3 linked regions of the Rattus norvegicus genome follow. The protein of the gene in region 2 purifies or fractionates together with the protein of the main gene of each other region. This does not show direct contact. Links are inferred from orthologs where the notes say so. Each region holds a gene or a part of one and is shown on either strand. Other genes may lie near its edges.

Region 1 (3,255 bases), on a different chromosome or scaffold from region 2:
AATTAAGTTTTGGGTTTTGTGGCCTTAACTTCTAGCTATACAGAGTTCTTTCACTTTCAAATATCCTGCCTTGTTTAGCACAGACCTGTGTACCTCTGTGTAAATGTGGCATGCCTGTGTCTGTGTGTGTGCACACATGCACGCCTGCATGTGTCTACTGAAGGAATAAAAACCTAAAGAACCTGGGTGTTTGCAGAGTAAAAAATTACAAAACTTGACAGAAACAAGAACTGCTGGTATGGATGGATCTGATTTCCAAAAGTAGACCTCTTTGGTCTACAATGTTAATAATAAAAAGGTAGTGGGAAACTGTTTTAAAAACTTTTATGAAATATTCCAAAAGGCTTTTTTGATAAATTATTATTATTAAAAGCACCAAACCCAAACATCTTGTGTAGTATCACTCAATAGTGGCTTAATAAGTTTTTATGACATATGAACATAAACTTTTTGTTTAAGACAAAGAATACTGAAGAGGAACAGGTGTTGTGAATCAGGATAAGAAGGCCATTTGCTCTAGTTAATACATAAGAGATATATTGCAATAAATTTAAATATTCTTCTGTGGTACATATACATGTTATATTAATTAAAAGAACTGTTTACACCAAGATGTCAGAGATATCAGGAGTTCTTTGGGTACTGTAAAACATGACACAATAGTGAAATTGCTATTTAAGCAGAAAAAAATTTGTTTATAGTATCTATTAATACTAAAATAGGATATAATAAAAAATTATTATCAATATGTTTATTTTCAAATTGCCTGACAGTGTCCTTTTAAGAAATCTGACAATTTATATATAGGTAACATACATTTGAATTTCATGTTCATGACTGAAAATATTACTTGCACAATAACAACAACAGTAGCTTTTCACTGAAGTGCTCTGCAATTTACATTAAAGCTTTGCAGTAAGACACAAATCCATTGTACTGTTCATTCCTTAAATTATATAGCATGTTATGTGCCTTATACTTATATAAAGAATTAACAATAAAAAAGGAGAAATACAATCACAAACATGGGCTGTTGTAGCTGTCATTCTAAATGCTAGTTTATACTGAGTTCTACTTTATTTTTGAACCCAAGAAACTTTATCTTTAAATAAAATCCGGAGATAAAATGAAGTTTACAGTGTAAGCATAGAGCCCCCCCCCCCCAATCATTTCCCATACCATTTCCCCTCAGTATCTAGGGAAATAAACTATGGGGCAAGGGCAGCTGCTTGTGCTGCATAAGTGCATCCTTGCTGCCTGGAGCACCCACAGCACGGTCAGAACACACTCTGAAAGACAGCACTGGCCAATAACAAGCTTTCTTAAGTGGCTTATTCCTTGGAGAAAAGAAAAAGATACTAAGCTCAGACTGTTTATTTTTTCTTCCTCCTTAATCCTCTTTTTCTCTAACATACAATGGTGATATTAAAGCACTTTTTGAAATGCTCACTAGTAACTTTCCAACAACACAGGGGAACTGGGTTAATTTATACAGTTAATATAAACAAATGACCAGTGTAGATACTAGGGTGAGGTCCTAGGATTTGTTACACGGAGAGCTAAACTTGCAAGAGATCTCATGGCAAAAGTAGACACTTTGTGGCATATCCCAGCTTTTGAAATATAGTTAGAAGCTAAACGAAACAGCCTTTCAGCACCAAAGGTATTGAAGTGCCCAGGAAGCACCTTCTCCACAAGACCTCTGTCCACCAACTCTATGAGACGTTCACAAGTTCCAACATAGTCACTGATCCTGCTGTATGGGAGCCAGTCAATCAGTGATCCATCATACACGACGTCACCACTGAAGAGTACCTTGCGGTCTTTATCATGTAAGCAAATACTGCCTCTGGAGTGACCTGGCATGTGCATAACAGTGAGCTGTCTGTCGCCAAGGTTGATCACATCCCCTAAAATAGAAACAGAAGTTACCAATAAATACCTGACAGGCTACTTGATGTTAATCATTGACAAAAGCAGAGGAGCATTAAAGGGTTTCAAGGAAACTTGAAGACAACATTAGCTTTATTTTCATGTTATGTTTCTCTCCTCTCTCTCTCTCTCTCTCTCTCTCTCTCTCTCTCTCTGTGTGTGTGTCTGTGGTGTGTATGTGTGCCATGTGCTGTGTATGTATGTGTATAAGTGTGTGTGTGGTATGCGTGTATGGTGTGCATGTGTGTGCATATGTGGTATGTCTGTATGTGTGGGATGTGTGTGGGCATGTGTGTGTATGGTGTGTGTGTGTGTGTGTATGTATGTATGGTGTGTGTGGTGTGTGTGTGTGGTGTGTGTGTTTGTGGTGCGTGTGTGTGTGTGGTGTGTGGTGTGTGTGTGGTGTGTGTGGTGTGTGCGTGGTGTGCGTGGTGTGTGTGGTGTGCGTGGTGTGCGTGTGTGTGGTGTGTGTGTGTGGTATGTGGTGTGTGTGTGTGGTATGTGGTGTGTGTGTGTGTTTGTGGTGTGTGTGTGGTGTGTGGTGTGTGTTTGTGGTGTGTGTGTGTGTGTGTGTGTGTGTGGTGTGTTTGTGGTTGTGTGTGTGTGTATGTGTGTGTGCGCGCGTATGTGTGAAACTGGGGAACTGCCACAACTCAAAGTCAGCTTGGGCAACAGTGACTTTCAAGTTACCCTGAGCTACAGAGTGAGAGTCTACCTCAAAAAAGACCAAAATAGATCAATAAATAACAAAAACAAGAGAAAAGTAACCAGAGTACAGAAGACCAAAACACATTGATTAATTTAATATAACTGTCACATAAGAAACACTTTATACACAGAGAGATAGCTTTTTAAAATTATATTTGCCTATAATGCTAATACATAAGACAAATTTCAATAAATTTAAAGGAATAAAATGCAAAATATACCTTCTGACCACAATATAACTAAAATATTATTAGAAATAGCACAATTAGAAATAAGAAGCAGGGGTTGGGGATTTAGCTCAGTGGTAGAGCACTTGCCTAGCAAACGCAAGGCCCTGGGTTCGGTCCCCAGCTCCGAAAAAAAAAGAAAAAAAAAAAAAAGAAAGAAGAAGCAGATAATTTAGAGTGCATCTTAAATAACAAAAACATTAGAAAATTAAAGAGACAGCACGTATGCATATGGGAAATAACCACAGAGGCCAGCACCATACTTCTCCCCAGCTTAGGACAGCAAAAAGGAAGTAGGAAGGATCCTGGGTTGAAGTAATTTGAATGAAATCAAAACACATCAAAATTTGTGGAAACTGGTAAAGCAGTATTTAAAATTACTTTAAAT
Region 2 (4,577 bases):
CTGTGGCTGGAAAAGATTTGTTCATTGTGGTTGAGGAAACATACCTGTAACTGTGTTCTTAAGCTCCAGACCCTCCTCAGAAGGTGATTTTGTGCAGAGGCAAACCAGCCTTGGAACAAGCAGCTATGCCTGAAGGAGGAACCACTTTCAGGTGTTCTGCGGGGTGTGTGTGTGTGTGTGTGTGTGTGTGTGTGTGTGTGTGTTCCAGCTGGGTTTGAAGAGACCACACTGGGAACTCCAGGCATGTTCCTTGTCTGGGTTACTTGCCTGTATAAGGTAAGGTGCCCAGCCCTATGTGAACAGGGAAGTACAGTTAGACAGGAAGCACAGGAAAGGAGGCAGGTGGCCATGATCTTCTTGGGAAGATACACAGTTCCAGCTACTAACAGGAAGAAATGGGCCATTATTGATGGGAAAAATTCCTGGCCAGTCACACAGAACAACCTTTCTAGAGTTGTTTGATTTCCCTGAAGTTCGCTATCCTCCCAGTGCTTAAGCAGTTTTGTTAACACAGAGGCATCCACACCAGGGTTGTTTGTAGTTGTTCTTGGGTGATGCGGTCCTGAGATGAAAAGGTTTCACAATGTAAGTTATATCCAAAGTGGCAGGGCTGGGATAGATACTCGTCCTACTGCCATCATGAACGCTTTGAGGAAGGATGTCTATTCGGAGGGGATAGAATCAGCTAATTTGGAGGATATTCTCAATACCCAACAGTAGAGGCCTTAAGGCACAGTGGCAGGCAGGGCTTGAGACTTGTAGCTTATTCATGTAGAAGTGAAAGTCTAGATAAAAAGAAGCCCAGGTCACTAAAGGAGCGAGCCTGCAAGTATGGGAGTTTTTGAAAAAGTTCCCAAACATAGCTCAGCTATGGAGGTGAGCTGTGAAAAATCTTGCCTTGTGAGGTCTAGAGGGATATGCAGAGATTACTCTTTGAGGGAAAGAGAAATGACAGGTAGGGAGTCAAATGTGACAGAACTGGTGCCATTTGCCTTAAAGTAACAATAAAAAGAAAACAGGGGAGGGAAGCACCCTGCACCAGCAAAGATTTCTTCCCCAAGGTTTCTGAGGAAAGGTAAATTTGAGCACAAACTTGGTTGCCTATTCTTTGCAAGGCTGATGAACCTATGTATTCATTCCTGGTGGTGAATGACATATATTAAGCATTGACATTCAGAGAAAACCCAATTATACAGATACATACATGATCCATGCCTTTGTGTGAGTTCCTTTATGAACTCTTACAGTGTTACTTCCCCAATAAGGGCAGAATAAGGGGATCCCGATTTAAATTACAGAGCTGGAGATTGAGGCCACTCCCTTGGGGACAACTTCATATGCTGTTAAGAGACACTGGGGGATGATATCCAGATGGGTTTTGAAGATCGATTTCTGCCCCCTCCCAGCTGTCAGAATAGAACCCAAGCAGAGAGCGCAACCTGCGTCTGATTACACTGGCCCCATGTTTCTTCAGCGGAAAACAGTGGGTTAGATTCATTAAGTTTTCACTTTGGGACTGAGCTTGAGCTCTAGGCGTGCCTGTAGGTGGGCAGACAAGCCGAAGAATGGGGACGCGCGGGCGGGAGTAGAGGCGGCGGGCACTTTAAGAGTGGAGGCCCTGCTGGGCGGTGCCTGCACCGCCGGCTCGGCTGCAGCCCCGCCCCTTTCCCGTGAGCCCACGGGGAGTGGTCCGACCACGGGCGGCTGCGGGTGAGGAGAGGGGCGGGGGACAGGGGGGTGGGGGGGAAGACATGGCTGTGGCTCGGCGCGGCTGGCGGCTGGCGCCCGTTCGCCGTGGCGTCTGCGGGCCCCGGGCGCGTCTGCTTATGCGGCCCCTCTGGTTGCTCTTCGCAGTGAGCTTCTTTGGCTGGGCCGGGGCTCTGGACAGCTCTGGGGGAACGACCAGAGCCATGGACGAGGAGATCGTGTCCGAGAAGCAGGCGGAGGAGAGCCATCGGCAGGACAGCGCCAACCTGCTCATCTTCATCCTGCTGCTCACCCTCACCATTCTGACGATCTGGCTTTTCAAGCACCGCCGGGCCCGCTTCCTGCACGAAACCGGCCTTGCTATGATTTATGGCAAGTGTCTCGGACCCCTGTCCCCTAGCTGGCACTGTCCTTTTCTCTGCCTGCTGGTTGCTTCGCCTCCTGTCCTGGTCCTCCTCGGCCTACATTCTGCCCCCCTTCTCATTTCAATTTCTGCCTCGCCTTAAATCGTCCTCCGTTTCTGCCTCACCCCCCTCTATTTCTGCTACGCCCCCCATTTTTCCTACCTCGTTCTCAGCCTCGCCTCCCCATTTTCTCTGGCTCTCCTTGCTCTTTTCGCCTCCGACCCCACCCCCTTTTCCTCTGCTCCCTGTTGCCCCTTCCCTGCCTTCCAAGCTGGGGACCAGGACGGGTGGGTGTAGAGGATGGGAACGGGAGTCGGGTGCGGTGGACGGGATGGGGCTGGGGGCGGGGAAGACATCTTTGCAATCTCCGTCTCTGGGGTGTCAGTTTGGTTAAGGTTCGGTGAAGCTGCAGTAGTAGCTGTGCTGCCAGCATCTGGCATTCATTTGGAAGCAGAGTCGACCTTTTACTTCTTGCCCAGCTTTTGCTATGCCGCCTTTCTAGGCGCAGATGATAATCTTACTCCAGTGGAACCCACACAAACTAAAATCCTGAAGTAGGCTACAGAATGTTTAGGGCATTTTAAATGCCGTTCTAATTTATTATACTATACCAATAATACCTGACAGGGAGCCTTAGGGTTGACCCTTCCGATTCAGGTGTAGGAAAGTGAGGACTAGGAAGAGTTAGGGTTCTTCCAGCAGCATCTTACTTACCATCTGATGAGAACTGGTCAACCAAGTAGTAATTAAGAACCTTCACGGATATGGATAGGGGTGACTTGCTGTTGGCATGGGGTTATTGATCAGATTGCTGTGTAAATGATTTTGGTTCTTCAGTCTTACTGTGCTTTCTTTTGAGATTATCTGTGTGTTGGGGGAGGGACAGATGATACATGGGGGCGGGGCAGAGGAGAGGAGACAAAACCCAAACCATGGGCTTAGAAGTCTTTGCGCCATTTCTCCAGTCTTGTGAGGGGAAAAGATCTTGCTGACAGTCTCCTATCTGCCTAGGAGGGCATGGCCTAAGAGATGAGGGTAGACAGACAATCCATTTGTACAGTGCATGTGTGAAGATTATCTTCATTTGCTACAGCCCTGAATTATTAAGCTTGTTAAGGTCTGTTTCTGAGACTTGAAGACAGGTATACGAAGGCTTGGAGCTAAAAGGCATTTTCCCATGCAGCTCCCACCCACTTCCAGTAAATCCAGACTTCTAGAATGTGCATGCACATCAAGGGTGGCAATAAAAGGTAGTTGTAGGCCTGAGGAAAATGCATGGACTGAGGCTCCCTTTCCATTAAGGTAAGAAACTCTAAGCATGGGGACTAGAATGTTAAAGATGACACTCAATTTGTAGTGCCCCTTAAGTCTAATTGGTCACATACAAGCTATATCTTGTCCAATTTCTCCATGCGACACTGTATTGACTTGTCTACTATCTTCAGCAAGCGTAAGCTGGTTAGTTTATTATATTATGTACAGGAACTATAGACATGTAGGAACTTTACGAAGTAAAGACAAACCATAGAAAGGATATAACAACATTTGAACTTTGGTTAAATGCAAATGAGCCTTATATTGTTAAAATAAAGAACTGATCATAGATAATCTCTTTCCTATTGAGAGATATGGTAGCGGTACAAGGCTTTAGACCAGGATTGGCATTTTTAAAGGGCTCGATAGTTAAGACTGTTGATTGTAAGGGTCATGTATATTACATTTTATTCTGTTTTTTTTCTTCTGCAAACTTTTTAAAATGTAAGAAACCAGGACTTAAAGAGAAGGATCAGTGGGTAAAGGCACTGGCCCCAACACTGTGGCTCAGAGCCATCTATAACTCCAGTTCCAGGCACTATGGGCAGCACACACACATGGTACACCAACATACATGTAAGCAAAACATGTGTCCACACACAGTACACATACATTTAAATTTTCTATCTTTATGCCTTTAAAAAGAAATGTAAAAACCATTCTCAACATTTGGGCCAGGAGAAAACAGACTAAGGCCTGAAGCTGCACAGCCCTTGAGAGTCAGCCCCAGATTTCTGTTATACTGTGCCAGTAACTCTTCATGATCTTAGCAAGGCCCTGCTCATCTCTACTCTTATCTGTGTATTGGGAATGAATTATGAGAACTGCTTTCAGCCTAGTCCTTGAGTCCCGAGTAAATACATGCTCAGTAAATGATAGCTGTTCTTGTTGCTGTTATAGCTCCCAGGGTCAGAAAAGTCTTTTTCCTTACTTAGTCTTACAAGACACAAACAGTATTTTTTTTAATCAAATAGGACTTTGGACAACCCTGAAAATGTTTGTTCTTTGCTATCTGGTGTCTCAAGTAGGAAAACACAGGATTGCTGATGGCCTTTGCTAACACTTCTAAAACGAGAATGAATAGTGCCTTAGCGGTAATATTCTATGAGGGAACAAGCATATCACTTGAAAAACACGACATGCAAGAGTGGT
Region 3 (4,101 bases), on a different chromosome or scaffold from region 2:
TGCAATCCTCCTGCCTCAGCTATGAGTAATGGTGTGATTACAGGCATGTGCAACGATGTGTTGCTTCCTCCTGAAAATATTTAAGAGTACTTTTAAAATTCCAATAGTTCTCTAGAACAACAAAAATTCAAGCTGCTTTGATCTGGGACTTGTGGTAGATACACTGTTTTTTAGGGGTGGGAGCAGTCTAGAAGCACTAGCAATTTAAACATGTCCATAAAAATCATTGTGAGTTGAAACATTACAGCCAAATAACCATCTTTTACTGAATTGAGTTTGGTTGGAACAGACAAACATATAATTTTCAAAACTGTAACATTTTATATAGATTAAGTTTGGTTTTGTCTTTTTTTTTTTTATTCTAAGACGAATAAAGGGGCAATGTCCAACACAGACCTCTGGGGCTACCGTTAGCCCACCTGGCTTACAGCCTGGGTAGCCCCATGGTCTGACAGCAGAAACCTTCAGATCTGAACAGTGAGATCGCAGCCCAGACCCCAGCTCAGCTTCAGGGCTATGAGTGACGCATGTTGTTTCCTACACACGTTTGCCTCATTCTTTCTTTCTTTCTTTTTGTTTTAATCATTTTAATTTAAGTATCTGGACAAGGCTCTTTCTTTTTTTAAAAAATAATTTTTAATTTAAGTATCTGTACAAGGCTCTTTCTTTTTTTAAAAAAATCATTTTTAATTTAAGTATCTGTACAAAGCAAACTTTGCTCTTGATCAAGAGGGTGACACAGACAGGAAGTGCAGAGTCAGCACTCCTAGTCCTTGTGAGAGGAACCATGATGTTATCACCATTGTTTTATTGAAAGTAGGTCAAGAAAACCTAACTGCGTCCATCTTAGAAGTGTACCTGCCATGTTATTCATTAGTCTTCTGAGTTTAAGATTTGTTTATTTTATATATATATATATATATATATATATATATATATATATATATATATATATATATATGCTGTCCCTGTCTTCATGCACATCAGAAGAGGGTGTCAGATCCCTTTACAGAGGTTGTGAGCCACCATGTGGTTGCTGGGATTTGAACTCAGGACCTCTGGAAGAGCAGTCAGTGCTCTTAACCGCTGAGCCATCTCTCCAGCCCCACTTCTTTTCTTTCCTCTCCTCTCTTCTCCATCCTTCTCTTCTGTTTTTCTTATCATTTGTCAGAAACTGGCTTCATTTTCTTAGTTAACAACAGAGTAATCACATAAATAAATAAATCTTAAAAAAAAAAAGAAGGAAGGAAGCGAAAGGACAGGGAAGGAGAGGAGAAAAGACAAATTCAGGAATCATTTTCTGAAGCGTTATACGATTTTATTTTCTTCATAATCATTTTTCATGGGAAAGGATCTGTGCTGATAGCAGCTGAGAGGTGAAGCTCTGCGTCTTCTGTTGTAGCTCATTTCCTTTGCTTTCTCCTTCAGGAAGATGGGAAATAGAGGAGCTGAAGGAAAACCAGGTGCCTGGTGACAGAGGGCTGGTTCTGAAGTCTAAGGCCAAGCACCATGCGATATCTGCTGTCCTCGAGAAACCCTTTATTTTTGCCGATAAACCTTTGATAGTTCAGTAAGTTTTAAGACTTTTTCATTTGCATTAGCCTGCTATAATTTGCCATCTGAATGTATGTTAGGTTTTGGTGCTGTGTTCTCTCTCTCTCTCTCTCTCTCTCTCTCTCTCTCACACACACACACACACACACACACACACACACACACCACATCACACACATACACACACACACACACCCACCCTTTCCCTTTCCAGGTTCATAGACAAACACATGTAAATATAACCACACCCCGGGCTTTGGGGGGCAAACAGGTTAGTGATAAACATTTGTGTGTGTGTGTGTGTGAGTGTGTGTGTGTGTGTGTGTCAGTGATAAACTTTTACATCGCGTCTCCTATAGGCACAATTCTGGCTCTGTAAAAGGTGGCACGCTAAATGCACGCTCTTATATCAGTTGTTCTAGTTCCATGCTGTTAAGATAGTAACCTTGGGATATACAGAGTAGAGCTAGAAGGCAGGAAATTGGTTTCAGCAGGGAAATGTGTCCTCAGGCCAATGTCCTTGAAGTGTGGAGCTCTTTTTAAAGCCCTGATGCTGTCTGAAATCTCTTCCCCTTGCACTGACTTCAGCCCTGTGTGGTCTACAGCTCCAAGGTCAGGTAGAAATTCCCTACGTGCTCTCACCTACAAAACTCGAAGCCAAGGTGAGGCTCTGAAAGCCACTCTGTGTTCAATCACAGAGGAAAGGACTGAGCATCGTTCCTGCTCACAGGCTGCCTTGGATTGGAAACTCTCCCGGGTCAGTCTGTCCTTCAGAACAGCCGCAGGACCCACAAGCCTGCAGACTCTGGCTCTCTGCCAGTACCGTGAGGAGAGCTACTTCCTGGGTTTGTTGTCCCATTTCGGTAGCCATCCAGTCCTAGGTCAAGACAAGGAGGGTTTGCCTGTTACACGAACTAATTAAAGTAGCATTAGCTACATTGGTACTGCTTATTATTAAGATTTGGTCTGAGTTTTGTTTTCCTTTATAATTGTTTTCTTTTTCCTCCCCCCCCACCATCCCCCGTGGTGTTTGTGTGCAATTATGTGTTTGGGTGTGCAGTTGTGTGTTTATGTGTGTGTGTGTGGGGGGGGGTGGTCTGAGGTCGATGCTGGAAATCATCCTTGACCCACCATATTGACAGACACCGTCTCTCTGTGGTGTGGCTGCTCTCTCCAGTCAGCACTATGAATCCCCTACCTCTGCCTTCTGAGGCTGGCTACTATGTTCACCCAGCATTTACATGGGTTCTGGGCATCTGAACATCTGATGCTTGTGTGTCAAGCACTTTCACTACTGAGCCATCCCCACCGCCCTTCCTTGAGAACTGGAAAGTAGCCGCACTAGTCTCCTAATCGTTAGGCACACAACATCACTCTGTGAGTGCCCCGTTCATTCAAAAAGGGCTGTGAAGAAAACCAAGACAAACTTCAAGTTTTCAGGAGTAAGATAAATGTCATCAGTTTTCAGGGAGAATCACTTTTTTAAAAAAATGTCTTGCCAGATAAGAAGCAAACAAGAAAATACATCTAAAAATTTCTCAAATAACTATGAAATTATGGGGCTGGAGAGATGGCTCAGCGGTTAAGAGCACTGACTCCTCTTCCAGAGGTCCTGAGTTCAAATCCCAGCAACCACATGGTGGCTCACAACCATCTGTAATGATATCTGATGCCCTCTTCTGGTGTGTCTGAAGGCATCTACAGTGTAGTTATATATAATAAATAAATCTTTAAAAAAAAACTATGAAATTATTATTTTGAAAAAATAAAGAGGATCGAGAACTGAACAGCCACCAAATGGGCTAACATGTTACATTAAATGCTTTTAGTGGCACACGGCTTTTGCTGAATTTTGGTGTCTTTTCCCTTCCATGGCCACGTCAATTCGTGTTTGAGCGCGCCTGACCTGAAGTCTGAAATGCTTTGAAATTTGGAACATTTTTTTTAATCTCCATGATTACTACTTCAACTAACAACAGTTTTGTGCTACATTTTCTGTACAATATTTGTTTCAAACCTTAATTTCACACATGAACTCTCTGTGTGGTGTTTTTCATTTAATATAGGTGTTACAGTCAGTGTGGGATGCAGCCTAACATTTCTGCCTTTTTTTTTTTTTCTTTTCTTTTTTTCGGAGCTGGGGACCGAACCCAGGGCCTTGCGCTTGCTAGGCAAGCACTCTACCACTGAGCTAAATCCCCAACCCCCATTTCTGGCTCTTTAAACATTTGTCAAGTCCTTGTCCTGAGACCCTGTCTTCTGGTCCTTTCTTTTTTTTTTTTTTTTTTTTTTTTTTGGTTCTTTTTTTCCGGAGCTGGGCACCGAACCCAGGGCCTTGTGCTTCCTAGGCAAGCGTTCTACCACTGAGCTAAATCCCCAGCCCCATTCTGGTCCTTTCTAGGACGTAAGTTATTGTAGTTGCAGGGGGCCATAGAACTTCCTTCTTTCTGAGTGTATTTTGGTCCCTGGTCTTTCTCCTCCCTCTTTTCTTCCTCTCTCTTTTGATTCCAAACCACCAATAGCTCCTTTTCACTTCTATTAAATCAA

The links. Proteins that work in one complex are often made in the same cells at the same time.
Region 1: the proteins of Slc9a6 (region 2) and Mblac2 purify together in Homo sapiens (co-immunoprecipitation; 3 studies listed by BioGRID and IntAct, counting the BioPlex papers as one, with this or other methods). This does not show direct contact. The link is inferred for Rattus norvegicus from reciprocal best matches to the Homo sapiens genes SLC9A6 and MBLAC2.
Region 3: the proteins of Slc9a6 (region 2) and Clgn purify together in Homo sapiens (co-immunoprecipitation; 3 studies listed by BioGRID and IntAct, with this or other methods). This does not show direct contact. The link is inferred for Rattus norvegicus from reciprocal best matches to the Homo sapiens genes SLC9A6 and CLGN.

The regions. Positions count from the first base shown.
Region 1 is NC_086020.1:13,761,994-13,765,248, reverse strand, and holds the end of Mblac2 (acyl-coenzyme A thioesterase MBLAC2), read right to left. Parts: intron 1,911-3,255; coding exon 1,525-1,910; 3' UTR 691-1,524; downstream 1-690. UniProt on the Homo sapiens protein: Acyl-CoA thioesterases are a group of enzymes that catalyze the hydrolysis of acyl-CoAs to the free fatty acid and coenzyme A (CoASH), providing the potential to regulate intracellular levels of acyl-CoAs, free fatty acids and CoASH.
Region 2 is NC_086039.1:139,466,367-139,470,943, forward strand, and holds the start of Slc9a6 (sodium/hydrogen exchanger 6), read left to right. Parts: upstream 1-1,678; 5' UTR 1,679-1,710; intron 1,711-1,730; exon of another isoform or gene 1,731-1,751; coding exon of another isoform or gene 1,752-1,910; coding exon 1,911-2,079; intron 2,080-4,577. UniProt on the Homo sapiens protein: Endosomal Na(+), K(+)/H(+) antiporter. Mediates the electroneutral exchange of endosomal luminal H(+) for a cytosolic Na(+) or K(+).
Region 3 is NC_086037.1:41,619,479-41,623,579, reverse strand, and holds part of Clgn (calmegin precursor), read left to right. Parts: intron 1-1,428; coding exon 1,429-1,570; intron 1,571-4,101. UniProt on the Homo sapiens protein: Functions during spermatogenesis as a chaperone for a range of client proteins that are important for sperm adhesion onto the egg zona pellucida and for subsequent penetration of the zona pellucida.